Coturnix japonica: one gene and its partner. The protein of the gene in region 1 purifies or fractionates together with the protein of each later gene. This does not show direct contact. Links are inferred from orthologs where the notes say so. Each region holds a gene or a part of one and is shown in the gene's direction. Other genes may lie near its edges. The genes, in order: PUS10 and ABITRAM.

Region 1 (8,741 bases):
CATTCAGTTACTTTGTTGAGGAAAGTGCATTAGAGTTCCTGTTTCTCTCCACTAACTGCAGTGGAATCGGATGCAACAGGAACTTTATTACTTCCTACAAAAACAGAATCAAAAGCAGCTTCCTGTTCCTCTAAAGTCACAGCAGCAGTGGACCCTCTAGCAGACATCCCAGTGAGGGACGGACGTTGCTCTGTAATCCTTTCCAGGTCCGCTGCTTTCCTGCCTCTTCTTTTGCCCAGTATTCTGATATAATTAGCTGGTACAAGTCCTGTTGTTTGACCATCATAACTAGCCAAAAGCCAGCCACGGATTTTGGGTTGTTGGTCTAAAAAAAGAAAATGCAAAAGCATTAAGTTACCAAGCAATTCAAAATATACTGCAGTTGAGGCACAAATACATGAGGAGGCTGAGCACAGCTAATCACACAGAGAAAATAACTCTGTGATAAAAGGGAAACACGAATTATTACACAAGAGAAATGATGAGGATCTGCATTGATGTGATGTTCTGAAGTGTGCTGTGAAGCTGAAAGTGTTGACACCACCATACTGCCATTTCCATAAGGATTTTCACAGTTATATAGCAAATATGAAAAAAGGATAGCCACAAAGGGAACTACAAAGTACTTCCAGAGTAACTTTAGGCTGTGTCATACTTTAGGGAAATTGAACAAAACTATTTAATAAGTTTTATTACAGTGCACGTAATAACAAGTGAAAAAAATATAAATCAGTAGGTATGAAAACTTGGGTCAAAATGTGTTTTGTTTTTGCATTCTTACTTTTTCCCCCTGCTCCTTTTCCCCCTTCCCCCCCCCCGAAAAACACACAATTTCAGAATCAAACTACACAACTTATTTCACATATGATTAGAAAACAAACTGAAAATTGAAAGCTTACCTTTGGGTGCTAATCTTAGAATGTCACCAGCACGGAAGGAAATTTCCTCTTCTGAGAGCGCACTGAAGTCATATTCTGCTCTTCCAACTACATGATCATCTTCTCCACTTGCCCAGTTACTAGAAACTGTTTCCGAAAAGAAATTAAGAATTTACTTGCTTTGAATTTAATAGATGAGATTTTTGGTTTGTCTGTTTTTGGTTTTTAAACCAAAGAGAAGACACCTTAATTTCTTTGCTTCTCTAACAGAGAACTGATGGGACTAACAAAGACAACATTTGGTGAGTCAACCAATAGCTTTTCCTTCTTCTCCACCTGCCACATTTAATAGAAAGGAATCACAAATTTGGAGTCATATAAAGTGTACCATGAAACTGAATCTCAGATCAACACTAAGCTATTTATACTTGTACCACATGCTTAAAATTCAGTGTTGTACCCCAGAATCTACACACTTCCATTACCCAAGTCTAGGTTTAATCTCTATACACGTGATAACTAAATGAACAATATACTCTATACTTTTCATGATTCTCTCATGCTGCAGATCATCTTTACCTGATTCTTCATCACTGTATGTAGAAAGGAGTTTCCAAATCAGATAGGGACCTCCCATAATAACAGCAAAGAACAAAAAAATAGGCCAGGATTTTGCCGAGTTAGCTGCCTTGTCTTCAAGACCAACACGAGCTACTGTCCCCTGACTTTCAGCCCACAGATCCTCATTCTCAGAGCTCTTCCGCAGACCCAGTAATCGTTGTAGACGCTGGTAGAGATATCTTATAGTTCTCACTAAAGCAAATGCTGAAAACACCTTTGTGAAGTGTACTTTGAGGCGGGAGAAGTGATTGGCTACATCCAACACAGCTCTGAAACTGTTGTACACAGCTGAAAAGGTAGCATCCATCATCATGCTGACTGAGGCAAACGCATGCACAATACTTTCAATGGACTGAAATGCACCTCTGCTGCTCTCTTCAGCCTGTTGAACAAACCTGCTGGGAGGAATATCATCTGTACGAAAGCGGTTATAGCCCAAGCCACCATATCCATAACTGTAAGGGCTGTAGCTTCCATAAAAAGAAGTTCCATATGAACCATAGCCTGTAGTAAAAGAACTGCTATATGCTGGCCTTAAAGTACTGAGACTACTGCTTCCTGTTTGCTGTGATGGTCTCGGCAAAATAGGTGGAGGTATTCGTGCAACTGTGGGTTGTCCAGGTCTGGTCAGCAAGTTGTCACCCAAGTCAGGAGACCTAAACAGATTCAGACAACCAAGATCAGTACTCAAAATGTGGTTATGTTTTCATTTTCTCCAGCATTATTCAATAGCTATCAATATGACCCTGCGCTTTGCTAGTGCCAGGTTGTGGAATCTGGTTACCAAACATTCATACTGTCGCACAGTGTTAGTGAGAATTAAAAATTTCTGTCAAGAAATACAAATCTTTCATTAAAAAAAAAAAGAAATGTTCAATGCAAATGTAGAATTGCAGCATATCTGAAACATATAAGAGCTGTTTTTCTTGTACAGACCAAAAGCACAAAATGCTAAGGCTAGACCCATCCAATCTGATGCTGATTCAACTCCTAAGTCATTCGCCTGTGCAAAAGGGCATCTCATACACACTACCAAGAATATTTTGCAATTTGAAAGCTTTAATTCCAACATTTGTTCTTGTTTCTTCTAGATAATGAGCCAATGGTACAGCAAGAAGGAAGCTAGACAGCTCCTCTGAAGTCACCCTTGGAGAACCGACTGGTGGGACCTAACAAAATTCAAATGATAACAGCACACACAACAGCCTAGGGCTCCCTGCTTCCCCCTACTGAACTGGGACTGAATCTAAGACTGTTAACAGCTGGCAGAAAGAGCTACTATGAGCTCATTTACTTTTTTAAAAAAAATAATAATAAATTTCTAGCTCTTGGCATGCCTGTAAGTTTCAGCCGGTTTACCTACATCCTTTGTAATAGGTCTGTGCAAGTACTTGGCATCTGAATTCTATCAAGTAGCTGTCCATCTTCTGCTGTTTTCCATACTGAAGCAATCTGCTGTACCACTTACACATGCGATAGGGAACAACTTTCCCCACAGCAAAACTTACAGGTTTACCTAAAGCGAAGTATAATATTTACATCTTTACACTGTTTGTTTCTTCCAGCCTAGACTGTCACAGTTAAAAGCAGAAGTAAAAATAAGGTACTACCACAGAAGTTGGGGGCACCCTCCCACAAACCAGATTAGGACAACTCAATTTTTAGATACCTGGAGTAAATTAAAATGAACTAGATAACCTCACCAAGAAAACTTAACATCAAACCTCCTGCTCAGCAAGCTTCAGCCTGCAGTGAAAGCATAGTTCTTCCTGAAAGTTCAGTTTGGAGGTAACCTTTTGCCCAGTTTCAGCTCACCCTAATTGCAATCAACAGCACCAAGTGGAAAACAAGACTCATCTTCAGCCATCATCTTTCCTTGGCTTCTGATTAAAATTCATTTGACAACTCTTTCTGCACAGCATCCTTCCCAGTGAAGTACACTCTGTCTTCTGCAGGAGCAGAGCCTCAGGTCAACAAATACACATTCATCTTTTCCACTGCCAGGATCAACCACACACAGCCCCACTCCCACGGGGAGCACATACTCCGTGGCTCTGCAACCCTCACGTACGAACGACAGCGTTTTTTCCACTTGTGGCAACACACCCAGCCCTGCTAACACGTCAACCTCCACCTCGTTAAACCCTCGACTTTCCGTAGACTGGCTCTGAGCCCACAGAACCCGCTGACGAAGATCCACAGGAGGTTCCCCCCACTCTTCTATACACCTCCCCAAGAAGCGGAGTGAACCCGCGCACAACCCGCCCCTCAGCTCCCAGGCCCGGCCAAGGCGCCGCGCCGACGGGCTAGGCCCGACCTTTGAGCCCGGCCGCCCGCAGGGCCGACCCCGCGGTGCGCGGAGAGGCCCGTGCGAGGGGCACACACTCACTGGAAGGCGGGCGCCACGCTGCCCACTAACCGCCGGTTCTCCCAGGGCTTGGGAGGCGGCGGCTGCGAAGCCATCCCCGCCTCGCTGCAGCCCCGTTCGAGCCCCGGCCCGCTCCGGCCCGCCGCGCTCCTCCGCCCGCCCCCGGCAGGCGGGACGCCGCAGCGCCGAGCGATCGAGCCGGCGGCCTTCCGGGCACCGCGCTACGTGCTCCGCCCTGCGCTCTATCGACGCGCTCCGCCCCGCGCCGCGCTGGGTTTGATGCTCCTGTGCTCAGTGCGGCCTATATTTAGTACTGTGATTATTAGTGTTGTCCAGCATGTCTTCTCTAACAGAAAAGGACAGGCCGATTGTTCAGCTGTTACTGGGTGCTGGCACATGCCCACGATGTATTTTCAGGTTCTGCCGTGTGGGATCACAGACGCTTTATAGGCATCCATACAAGGTTTGTTCTTTGTATTTCTGATTAGAACATGTGGCCGTATGAATGCAGTATCGTGCTGTACACTACTTGGAGGAGAAGGATGTTGTTTGTATTCTTGGACATTGCCTGTTGGGAAAGCTCTGTGCAAGTGTGAGAAATTACAGTAGTGCTGTGGTATAAGAATTCCCGTCAGTTTGGTGTTAGGTTCGTTAAGTTGCTGTGTATTCCCAGGAAAACTCTGTAAACAGGACAGAGCAACTTCTGCACAGCTCTATCACTCAAGCAGTGTATCCCCGACAGTTCCCTCCTTCGTTTTTCCTTTAACACAGTAAGTCACAAAGGGGCTGTGGGTCACGGCAGCTGATTGGGGGCTTTCTCTTCTTGCCTCAAATTCCTTCCGTCTTCCAGCAGCATTGGCTGAGGGATGTAGCTGAAGAATGGCGCAGTTGATGCTCCGCTGTCATTCCAGCAGTGTTATTAGGCACCCTATTTAGCTGACCTTCCCGCTGAAATTCAGCATTCTGAATTGTTTTCCCAGTTGTGCACCGTCAGCCTTCCTGTGTCTTTGTATTATGTGCTTCTCAAATTGTTTTTGGCTACTTGCTCCTTCACCACGTTGATTCATAGAGTTCTCATTATGTAGGCCTATTATTTCCGTGTATCTGCCCTAATGATGTCTTTATGCTTGTGTGTTACGGTGTTTGCCTTGATTATTTCACTTTCACTCAAGTTTAGACTCTCCAGAATTCTTCTTTCACGTCTTTCTTCCTAATCCTGTTTCATTTTTAATCAATCTGTTGAGAAGTGTTTGTTCTGTGTGCCATTTATCATGCTTTTGCAGCTCTATCCAATTTTCATCTGAGTTGCGACAGTAAATGCTGTTATTGAAGATGTCTTAATAAATCCTTATTTTTTTTTCTGACCCAAGTGTTACCTCTACCTTTCATCCTTCCTAAATTTCAGATATATGGTTAATTCTCTCTCCTCACCAGCACATTCATTAATATTCATAAGCTTCTCATTACATGAATGAATGAGACGTACTTTGTCGTGTGTTTAATTTCACTATTGCATTTATCTGCTCTAATTTTCTTCTCATACTGTGGTAGCCAGCTGTCTTCGTTGTGTGGGCTGTCAGTGTTGGAGGATTAAATTCTTAGGTAAGAAATGGCAAAAAGGCAGTAGACACATATTTTCCTTGAACAGTGACAAGGCTGAAGATAAATGCATTTCTGCAAGTTGGTCTTTAAAATGTTTCCAGTGTTCTTGGAAAGTAAAGAAGTCTGTTAAGCAAAAAAAGTTTTGTTGGGGTGGTAACGTTTTGACAGAAGTACAGATTGGAGCTTTTGTTTTTTATTGTGCGAGTGTCTTTTTGGTATCTTTACAAGTTGCTAATTACATACACAAAGACTAAAGCTACAGGTGGTTTCTTCTGCTTTTTAAACCTGTGTTTGTAAGTGCTTTTTACAGCACTGAATTCGAGAGGAAAAGTCAACAAAGTAAAATCCCACTGTTTGTGTTAGGATTTGATGAAGGATTTGAAACAATTCCTGAACGGTAATCAAGAAAAAGAAGATACAACTTGCTTTGATGTAGCTGATCCACCTTGTAAGCGATTCAGACTTGGACATGCAGAAGGAGGGCCTGAAGATCTGAACCAGAATGGAGCGCTCAGTCAGATTTCTTTGGTTAATGATGATAATGCTGCTGTGCAGAACTCAGCTGCGGAGAACTCAGCTGCAGAAGTTTGCAATGTCTGTTTGGGAATTCTTCAGGAGTTCTGCGAGGCTGACTTTGTTAAAAAGGTAAATAATCTTAATCTACAAGTATATTTTTTAGGAGCTTTTGTATGTTAGGGCCTGCAGTATAGATCTGGTGATTTAGAAACACTGTACAGTTAAACAATTGACAGAGAGAGCAAATCAAACCGAAACATTTTCTTGTGTTGAATATTTGAGTTGTAGATGGTGCCATTCAGCTACATACAGCTCACTGACACAGTATTTGCGTACCTGTTTTGCAGCTGGGAAATAAAATGCGTGACCATGTTTTGTCCAAGGTTTGTTATAATGTAACTTTGAAAGAAAGGTATAGGTGCAGTGGAATAACAGGAATGTATTTTTGTAATCAGGTTAATGAAACTTCACTATAAACCAATCTCTCTCCTCTTTTAGCTGTGTAAGGGCAATATGAGGAGTCATCAAATGCTGTGCTGTTTAGTTTAACTGTCTGTTTCTAACACAGGAGTGTTTCTTTACTATATAGCACTATTTAGAAACCCACAAAGGAAAAATGTATTTGGTGGTACAGCATTGCAGATAATGAAGAAAAAAGGAGTTAAGAGAGAGTATGAACATAATGCGTGTTGCAGATGTCATCTCTGAGCAATACAGTTGCTTATGTGACAAACCAAAATATTAGCTAAAAATTCCAATTGCATTTGAGATGTTTGACAGAGCTTTAATAGAAACAAATTTGGTTTAACAACATTAATAACTAGGGCTAAGAGAGCATACTACATAGATTCTGTTGAACTATTGGATGCTTCTTTCTTTTTTGTCTCCGTTGAGAGAGTACATATACTTTTCATTGAACCTACTTTTAAGACTTGTTTCAGAGTTACACTCTTTTGTGACAGTGGAAAATCTTACAACTTGCTCTTGTGCACAGGCACATTTATTAAGGCACCACAACATCTGATTCTCTTACAAGGAAATTTCCTTATCAAAGATGTGGATTTCATCCTGAAAGCTCAAAATTAGTCTTTGTTCCTTCTAGTAGAGACATCTAGCCATCAGCTTTCACTAGTTTACTTTAAGACATTTGATGCATGTTTGGGTTCTTGCTATCATTCCAGTGACTAACATGATTCTTATATCAAAGTAAAGTAGACGTTTAGATGATGTCCCTGCTTATTTGTAATAGCTGTATACTTATCCTGAGAAAATTCTATCATAAACTGAAAGATGAAATGTCCCATTGTCTTTGAATTATTACTGTGAATAGCTTTTTGTTCCTGTATTATGACAGGAACTTAAAAAGTTTTTATTGTCATAGAATTGTGTCTGTGCCATGAAGAAAAATATTCTGAGTCAGCTCTTCCAGCATGTGGTCTCTGTGGTGTAATTTCCTGCATCAACATTTGTGTATATGATTTTAGCCTTAAAAGAACGAGCTTTCTTATTTCATAATGTCACACACCAAATAAGAATAGAGGTCATTAGTAAGAACTTTTTACAGGCTTGTATTTCAATAAGTTGTTAGGAGTTAGTCAAGAACGTATGTTTGGCATTTGTCTGAATGTGTACTAATATAGATTTACAGTGATTATGATAGAATAAAGAATATCCTAAAAAATTATCAACTTGGTTCCATTGTTGTAGTTCAATATTAATACTCTTATTTTCCAGATGTGTGAAAAGGTTAATTCTTCTGACTACCAGTTCACCAGTTTTGTATTTTCTCTGTCACTACCACCACAGCTGTCTGTTAGGGAGGTAAGTTTTTGCAGATATTCCTTCATAAATTGAACGTTTATTAAGGAAGGTAACTGTGGAAGGTACAGACTAGAGACAGTCTGATTTTTAATTGCTATTATTCAAAACAAACAAACAAAAAAACCTCAAAACTTGCTACAAGTGTAGTCTGCTCTCCCTTTCCTTTTTGCTAAGTACTGTTATAATTAATAAGGTGTCTGAGTCACTTCAGTTTTCATTTAGCCTCGGAGTTATTTTACATCTGAAAAAGTAAAAGAGGATCTTTTCAGAGAAGGAACAGCACAGCTGGTACCATTCCTGAAATAAATGATAATTGGTAGTTCAGAGTAGAAATGAAGAAGTTTGAAGATAAGCTCTTTAACTTCGTAGCATTTTGGATGCTGTAAAAATATATATTTTGGTAGTCACCTGTCTTGAGCATTGTTGATAGTCTGTATTTTTATATTTGTTGTAGTCGTAAAACTACTACTTTGATAGCAATTCTTGTCTTAAATTGTTAAGAATTGTTAACTTAAGTTTAAAACTTAAATTGTTTAAATTTTAGCCATTAAATTACATAAGGCAGTGATAGCATAGACACATGTATCCCTGATAGTCTTTTTTTTAAGACTGAGGGAGAATATTAGGTATATTATAACTTTATCAGTAAAGTGACTATTGTGTGATGTTTTACAATGTTACCCTGTTTTCTACAATGAAGTGATTAAAAAATTCTGTTGTTAAAAGCAACTTGTAAGTCTTCAGGTTGTGTGCCTCCTTTTCTAAGACCTAGTAGAATAAACTTGAGTGACTGTGGCAGAAAGTAGTATAGATCCTCTTGGATTTGCAAATAGATCTGTGATGAGGTTTGCTCTCATTCTGTGCAATTTTTAGTGTTCAGTAGTTCTGTTACTTCTTACATCTCAAGAAAAAGCTAGTGTAGTAATTTGTTCTGA
Region 2 (8,598 bases), on another chromosome or scaffold:
AATAGGGAAGCAGCATATGAAGAATAACCCACGTGTACGTGAGTATGTTTACTCAGGTTTACCAGACTTTTATTCAAACTCCTTTCCACAGTGATGGAATGCTGTTCTATCAATGTTTCTGGAGCAAGCCGGAATAATCAGCAATAGATCTGTTCAGGTTTTGATGCCAGTGCTGCAGCTCATACTAAAGGCTTAAATAAGAATAGATTTTTTTCAGGCTTTTGTGTAGTGAATACTTATTCTTTCTTTTCTTTTTTTAACTCTGAATTAAGATGGCTTGAACTTCATTTCTGTCTATTCTTAAAAGTACTCTCCAAAACAGTGGAAAATCACGGGAGGAAAATTAGTGTGCTCAGTAAAATATTTACAGCATCTGAATTTGGGAGCAGAAGAAAAAGAAGCAAATCAAGCGCACTTTTCCTATCCCGCAAGAAGTTACGTATCTAGAAGCTGGGAGAACTGTGCCGATGATTCCCTTGCAACGTTTTCTTTTTGAAAGCAGAGTGAGCAGAGCTCGTTATCATTCTCCGGGTTGCCTGATCTGTGTGGGGGACCTCAGCCTCAAAGGAAACGCTTGTTTCTTGGATCTTCCTGCAGTCAGCATTTGGCCAGTGTCTTTGGAACAGGATTTGTCTTGTTTCCTTTTGAAGTCAGGAGGCAGAGGAAGGTTAATGCATCCTAAGGGGAAGCACTGAGGTGTGCTGCAGTCTTATCCAACGCCAACAAATCTGCCCGTTATGAACCTACGAGCAGTTGTTAGGAGAGGAGAACAGGCTTGTCTTTTAGAGCACTCATTTCATCTCTAGCTGACAAAATACAGGTGCATCCTTTCCCTGCATCAAGTGCTTTACCTTTTTTTTTCCCCCTTTCCCTTTATTCTACACTCCTGCCTTTTGGTTAACCCTCTGTACTTCCTTCAGAAGCGCACCTCTGAGCAAACAGCAGATGGAGGTTGCCAGAAGGGAGTCCTGCAGTTGGTGGTGCAGAGGAACCACACCGTGGTACAACAGCCATCTGCTATGATTTTGTAGCATCTCCTTGATCTGCCATTCTGTGCTACCTCTGCTCGCTGGTTCTCACAGCAGTCTTAGTCTCATGTTCCCAAGACTGAATTAGAAAAGTAATTTATTATCCCACCTGTTGCTTCCCTTTCTTCCCTGCTTATAAACTGTTAGCTCACTTGAACTTGCTCTGAAGAGAAAGTGACTTCAGTTTCTTTCAAACAATCTAAATTCTTATGGCACTTTTGCTCTTACCTGTGTTAGGACTGTTTCCAAGCTGTCATAGTTAAAGCTGTGCCTACAGCCCCACAGCCGATCTTTCTCTTTTCTTCGCTACCCCAAGTACTTGAATGTCATCATCTTTGACTCGTAGTACTGTAGTAGAGACTGTTCGGTCTCTGGCATGTGCACATCACAGCCACCTTCTTCAGAAAAACAAAACAAGTCCTAAAGAACACTCCCATCCCCTCATACCCTCATGTCAAAGCTGAAGCTTCCATGCCTTGACCAGTTGGTGGTGCCTTCTCTACTGACCTCTAACCCGAGTTGTCCCACTCAGTTCAGATCTTAGAACGTGGCCACTCTTCTTTGTCTGGAAGTCTCTTCTTAGCATTGCCAAATTGCAGTCAGATGTACCTGACTTTGGTTGTGCCCTGTTTAAGCAGGTCTCGCCTTTCCTGTGGTGATGGCACCAGTCGTTAGAGCTGATGTGCCCCAGTTCTGGCTGCTGCATTGCTTCTCATGAGCAAGATGTGTTCCCAGGCAGAACGCTTGGCAAGTCTTCTCTCCCCCTTCCCTCTGAGCCTCTCACAGCCCTGTTACATGCACAAACACTGGAATCTCCTGGTGGGTGCTGTAGGGTTTGGGGGCTCTATTGGTTGTCTTTTGCCTTCTGTCCCTCACCCTCAGCCATCAGAGAAACTGAATGCGCTCAGTGCCTTGGTTGTGAGCTATTTCAGACATGGGTGGCTCCTAACTCAGTTTGCTTTGAATTCTTGTGGTTTCTGTTGGCCTAAGGCCTTAATTGCTGAAGTCAGAAGATGACTTCTCTCATCTGTGTGATAGATGAGAGACAGGAAATGGGCACATGGCTGTATCCCCTATGAGATATTTAGATTGGTGACTAAATAAATCTACAGCTTCTGGTCTGTGCTTCCTGTCAGTTGCTGGCTGGCTTGCAATGAGAGAAACTGACATGAAAATATCTGCATATCAAAATACATTACTAATAGATCAACCTGACGAATAAAACTGCCTGCAGCATGTGTGGGAAGGAGGGTGAGATGAGCTGGCAGTGAGTACTTGGGTGGGCTGGGTGCTCCAGCACATTTGTCTTTGGTGGGCAAAGCACTACGTGAGGAAACCAAAGATGCTTCACAACGTGCTGTTGGTAGCAGCAAGGTGACAAAGCTGGCCCATGTTTTCATTGTCAGCCTTTAGTGGAAGCAAAGGTCCTACTTCTTAAAGGTACTTGCGGTGAAACTTCTCGTGCTTTGATAGAAGGATAGAGCAGAGCCTCTAAGCTGCCTTTTATTTTTATGCATTGATGTTTCTGAGCAGCTTGTGGTAATGTGCCTGCCTGCTGTGGCTGATAAAAGAGAGCACCTTTTTTTGTGTCCTTGTTAACTACAGTACAGAGCTGAGTGTTGAATGCAGCTGTATCCGCCTTATGTAGTGCTTGTGCTGACCCTAGGGCAAACAGAGCAAGGAAGGGTGGACTCTGATTTTCATCGTGCCACATTATTCTTAAGCTTTTGGCTTGTGTGTGTATATAACATCAGTCATGTGCTGTCCTTACTTGCAACAAGAGTTCTACTGCACAGATGCCAGTCCTTGCCTAAGTTCTTGACCTGCCTGGGTCAAGCAGCATGGCTGTTCTGTACTGATGGGAGATATTGTGCAAGAGCACAACGAACTGTATTTGTTTAAAAAGCATTCAAGGCTACAGGGTGTAAATCCAAGTAGCTGCTTCTGCTGCACGAATTCAGAGTCGAGCATAATTACAACTTCTGTGGAAAACTAGTTTGTTCTGGTTGCCACAAATAGAAACCATGTTTTCATGCCATGTGTTCTTACTTGAAATGTGATTTCGGTACGTTTAAACAATGGTTATAGCTGCCCTTGTATTGCTGTGTGCTTGATGGAATAAACCACTGAACAAAGAGCTGTTTCTTGTGTTTACTTGGAACCCCACAGCAGTTTGGGTTGGAAAGACCCACCCCGTGCCATGGGCAGGGCTGCCCCCCACCATCTCAGCTGCCCAGGGCCCCATCCAACCTGGCCTTGAGCACCTGTAGGGATGGGGCACCACAGCTTCTCTGGGCTGTGGTGCCTCACTGCCCTCTGGGGAAAGAATTTCCTCCTACCATCTACTCCAAATATCCCTTATTTCACAGCTATTCCCCCTTCTCCTGTCACTATCACACCACGTAGAAAGTCTATTTCCCTCCTGTTTATAAGCTCCCTTTAAGTAGCAGAAGGCTGCAATGATGTCTCCCCACAGCCTCTGCCCTGAACAAGCTCAGTTCCCTCAGCCTGCCTCCATTGCTTCAGCTCCCTGAGCAGAATCGCGCCCTCCTCCGAACCCGCTCCAGCCTTCTTTTGACGTGCTGGGGGCCTGGACTCAGTACTGCAGACGGGCCCTCACAGCCTCAGCTTTTTCTTCCACTTAGGAAAGAGCTTTTAATTACGCGCGATGGCGCCGTGCCTCTACCACAGGGCGCCGCTCCACAGCCCGGTAGGCAGCGCGGGGCGGGGCCGCGCGTGCGCCTTGCGAGGGGCAACATGGCGGCGTGCGAGGCGTTGGGCGCGGCGCGGTACTTCACGCGCTGGTACAAGGCAGGTGCGGCGCGGCCGGGAGGGCGGGATGGAGCGTGTCCGGGGAGTCACCCTTACCCGTGTTTGTGGGCTCTCGCAGACGTGAAGGGGCGGCCGTGCGAGGATTTCTGCGTGCTGCAGCACTCCAACAGGCGAGTTGGCGGGCGGGGACCCGGCGCCCTCTGGTGGCATCGTGCTCCCCGCCTTCCCCCCCCTCAGCTCTGTGTATCGAACGGCGGTGTGAGGGGGGTGGGGGCGATGCCCGCAGCTGAAGCCTGGTTGTAGGTATTAAAACTCTACTGCACCGCTGCGGCACGGTGACTGTCGTTCTTGTTGTTGCAGGATCTGTGTCATCACGTTGGCAGAAGCCCACCCTCTTCTTCAGCATGGGAAAACAATCACAAGTATTAATTACCAAATCAGTCCCAACTGTAGCAGGCTTCAGAATAAGGTCTCTGGGAAGTCCAAAAGGGTACGTAATGTGTATAGCATGCAGAGGGACTTAAACATCCCTTAATAGATCCCTTAACTTGTTTTCAACCAAATGCTAAGGATTTGAGACTTTTTTTTCTAATCACAGACCCCTGGTCTGTGACAGGATGGGGGGAAATGGCCTCAAGTTGCACCAGAGTAAGTTTAAGTTGGATATCAGGAAACACTTCTTTACAGAAAGGGTTGTTAAGCACTGGAATAGGCTCCCCAGGGAGGTGGTTGAGCCACTATCCCTGGATGAGTTTAAAACCATTTGGATGTGGTACTCATGGACATGACTTAGTAGAGGGTTGTTAGGGTACTTTGGTTGGGTTGTGGTTGGACTTGATGATCTTGAAGGTCTTTTCCAACCTGAGCATTTCTATGATTCTATGTAAGTAAGTATAACCGTGGAACCCATAGTCACAGAATCACAGAATCACAGAATGACCTGGGTTGGAAGGGACCTCAAGGATCATGTAGTTCCAACCCCCCTGCCCAGCAGGGCCACCAAACATACACATTTACTAGATCAGGTTGCCCAGAGCCCCGTCCAACCTGGTCTTAAACACCTCCAAGGACGGGGCATCCACAACCTCCCTGGGCAGCCTGTTCCAGGACCTAACCACTCTCCTAGTAAAGAACTTCCCCCTAACATCCAACCTAAATCTTCCCTCTTTTAACTTAAAACCATTTCCCCGTGTCCTGCTATTGTCAGCCCTTTTGAAGAGTTTACTCCCCTCCTGGGTGTAAGTTCCCTTCAGGTACTGAAAGGCTGCAATGAGGTCACCCCGCAACATTCTCTTCTCCAGGCTGAACAAACCCAACTCCCTCAGCCTGTCCTCATAGGGGAGGTGCTCCAGCCCCCTGATCATCTTCGTGGCCCTCCTCTGGACCCTTTCCAAAATCTCCATATGTTTTTTGTACTGAGGGCTCCACACCTGGAGCTGTAGCTATCACACCTCCTTGCTTTGTTCTGTAACAGCTTGTGATGTTGCTGATGTTTATGAAACTATAAGAAGAGCCGTAATTAACTGTAATTAAGAACATGTATGTATTTTTTTCCCCATTCAGGGAGCTCAGTTTTTAACAGAACTTGCCCCGCTCTGCAGGATCGCTTCATCAGATGGAGAAGAATATACCATTTACAGGTAGGGAATACACCGTTTACAGGTAAAGATTTGCACACCCCCACCCTGACACACTGTGCACTTATTACTGAGTTTGAACACTTCTGCAGTTGCATACGAGGGCGACTGATAGAAGTGAATGAAAACATTCTTAGCAACCCAGCACTTCTGCAAGAAAAGGTGAGAAGCTTTTTAGCTTTTAGCCTTTATTTTACTACTTCAGTGCTAACATTGTTCCTCCATTGTAGCCGTCAACCGAGGGATACATAGCAGTGGTTCTACCCAAATTCGAAGAGAGCAAGAGCGTAACTCAGGGGCTCCTGACACCAGAAGAATACAAGGAGGTTTTATCGAAACGTCAGAATTCTTCTTCAGGAAGTTAATGATACAGGCAGCAGCTATGTTTGATGCTAAATAAGCTGCTTGTACCCAGCAGCTTTCATTGCATTGAAAGGGCTGCATTTATAAAAGTGGAACTTCACGTATTTGTTTTATTCTTGTATGAAATGGGGAAAAATAGTTTGTATATTAAAATCTGTTTTCTCTCAGTCGTAGTACGACATGTTTTTACATACGCACAGATTGATTTTGGAGAGTGGTTGTGTTCCAGGGACCTCTTTGCTCTTGGCTCAACGCAAACATAATACACAGAGAAAAAGCACAATTGAGCTGTCGGGTAATTTAGCCAAACTAATACAACGTGGGGTTTGACAGCAGTGAATTGAAAACAAAATGCAATAGGAGCCTGCCTATGATGAACAGATAACCTTGAAAGCAAGCATTTCACATCAGGTTACGTTTCCTAGCACCCTGAAGTCAAATAATGCCCTTTTTACAGACGTTTCTCATAATCAGTATTTACTTCAATGTTAAATGCTGTAAAGTCTACATGTAATACTTCAGTGGTTCTACATGCAATTCAAATCCTGCTCAGTACAGTTTAATCATAAAGGAAGCAACAACTGCCATCTACAGACAGAGACAGTGAAGGAGAAAGGCTTTGAGTCAAAAGTGTTAATCGCTTAGAAGTACACTTTGGAAATAGGAATAATGCCAACCAAACTAAGATTCAGCGCCAAGCTCTCGCAAGAGTGTTTTTTCTTAGGACTGAACTTCATTGTAGGTATAACTAACCTTAATTTCAGTGCTTTAGGCCACAGTGTTTCAGTCTACATTCCTGAATGGGCTTTATAAATCCATAGACTGAAATGGGCCAGAGAGGAGTTTACAAACGTCAGCAGTAGTGTTACATAGAGCACAGGGTTCTTTGTGTGAAGGGTCTGTTAGCAGCATCTTTGGGTTGAAACATCCATTAAGACATTCGTAAGCATGAATTACAAAACCAGTATCAATAGGGAGCGTAGGAAATTCACATTATGAAAATACATAATGATTACACTAGTTGGTGCTGTCATCGTTAAGTAACAGGACATCTATTAGATGTGACAAAGGTCAACAGGTTTAATTCAAATTAACCTGGGTTGACTTTCCACAAATGAAAGCAAAACTGAGAAACTTCAGCAAGTGTTATTTTCCCTAATGGAGCTTCTGCAATTTCTAAGTGCTGTAATTACTTGCTCTCTAAAAATGTCATTTTAGCCACGTGATTTTCCAAAGACTTGATACCAAACATCTCCACTCTTCTTTCTGGTGCGTGTGTGTTCATACCGCTTCGTGTTCTGCCTTCTCTCCATGGGGGGGCAGGTTTGAGATAGCCGTTCCCTGCTTTATTCTGTGTACAAAGACGACGTAGTGTAAAAAGCAAGCAAAAATATGCAACAACAAACAAAAAAAACCCAACTTTTAAGTACCAGATACTCACCTTTCTCATTAACTTGCTGCAAACTGGAAGCAGTTGACATAACAGAGTCATCACGTTCCTCGTTTTCTGAATGCATGCATCAACCTATAGAAGGCAATTAAGACAGGCCACTGATTGCCACCGTTAGGCAATGTGAGATGAAAACCTATTTTGAGCTTGAAATGTATACGAAGGACAAGCAAATCCAATCTTTTCTAGTCTGAAGGTTTTGCCCATCCTGTTCAGCTTCCTGCAGTGTTCATAATGTACATCATCCCTTCTCTTAAACAAAGGCAGCGGCTGTGAAGGAGAAGAGAATGATGCACATCCCAGGAGAGGGAGCTAAAAATGATATTAAAGGAGTAAGTGTGTGCCCCGGTGGTGCAGTGGTTAAGGATGCCGCCTTGCAACACTGGGGCCCGGAGTTCGAATCCCCCCTGTGGCGCAAGTGGTAGAAGTGCCTCTCTGCTACACAGAGGCTCGAATCCCGGGGGTTGGACTCGATGATCTCTAAGGTCCCTTCCAACCCGTACGAGACTGTGATACTATGATAAGGTATGTGTCTCAGAAATGAGCCCTCACCGTTGTTATCATGGTAATAGTGCAACTACGTAAAAGCTGACGTATAACAAATAAGTAATAGAATAAATTCTAGGCAGCTTAGGATGGACTCTACCTTTGGAGAAGCAACGTGCATTTTAATAACAGAGTATTAAGGGATTGGAATTTATGTTTATCTAAAGCATCAATTACAAGACAATAGCTAATTATGACAACGGTAGTACAGATTACCTTCATTAATACACTTTGAGCACTGGAGTCTTTTCTTAGCAAGTTACACTTAACTACAGCTCATATTTCTTTAAATAAAGTTCTGTGTGTTACAGTAAAATAAATACCATCTCTCACTGAGCTGAGAATCCCCAGCTGCACCATAACAGATAGTAGGTAAGCTGAAGAAAACATTGGTGTAAGTTCCTTGACATAAGTCTCCAGCAGAAAAAGGTCATGTACAGTAATGGCACCCCACAGACATCTAGGAGCATCGGTATCTTGGGAAACATTTCTAACTCACAACCAAAATCATAGAATCATAGAATTACCCAGGTTGGAAAAGACCTTGAAGATCATCAAGTCCAACCACAGCCTAACCATAGTGCCCTAACTCTAAAAACCCTACACTAAGTCATATCCCTAAGTACCACATCCAAACGGCTCTTAAACACAACCAGGGATGGCGATTCAACCACCTCCCTGGGGAGCCTATTCCAGTACTTAACTACCCTTTCTGTAAAGAAGTTCTTCCTAATATCCAACCTAAACTTGCCCTGGTGCAACTTGAGGCCATTTCCCCTCGTCCTGTCACTTGTCACTAATG

What was found.
Region 2: the proteins of PUS10 (region 1) and ABITRAM purify together in Homo sapiens (affinity purification with mass spectrometry; 3 studies listed by BioGRID and IntAct, counting the BioPlex papers as one, with this or other methods). This does not show direct contact. The link is inferred for Coturnix japonica from reciprocal best matches to the Homo sapiens genes PUS10 and ABITRAM.

Annotation. Positions count from the first base shown.
Region 1 is NC_029518.1:5,441,918-5,450,658, forward strand, and holds the start of PUS10 (putative tRNA pseudouridine synthase Pus10), read left to right. Parts: upstream 1-4,115; 5' UTR 4,116-4,204; coding exon 4,205-4,330; intron 4,331-5,832; coding exon 5,833-6,114; intron 6,115-7,719; coding exon 7,720-7,806; intron 7,807-8,741. Other genes in the region: PEX13 (peroxisome biogenesis factor 13), read right to left, coding at 30-325, 900-1,025, 1,458-2,155, 3,889-3,962. UniProt on the Homo sapiens protein: Protein with different functions depending on its subcellular location: involved in miRNA processing in the nucleus and acts as a tRNA pseudouridylate synthase in the cytoplasm.
Region 2 is NC_029517.1:79,739,659-79,748,256, reverse strand, and holds ABITRAM (protein Abitram), read left to right. Parts: upstream 1-3,755; 5' UTR 3,756-3,785; coding exon 3,786-3,843; intron 3,844-3,918; coding exon 3,919-3,970; intron 3,971-4,160; coding exon 4,161-4,290; intron 4,291-5,363; coding exon 5,364-5,440; intron 5,441-5,529; coding exon 5,530-5,599; intron 5,600-5,667; coding exon 5,668-5,802; 3' UTR 5,803-5,967; downstream 5,968-8,598. Other genes in the region: CTNNAL1 (alpha-catulin), read right to left, coding at 6,990-7,151, 7,242-7,325. UniProt on the Homo sapiens protein: Actin-binding protein that regulates actin polymerization, filopodia dynamics and increases the branching of proximal dendrites of developing neurons.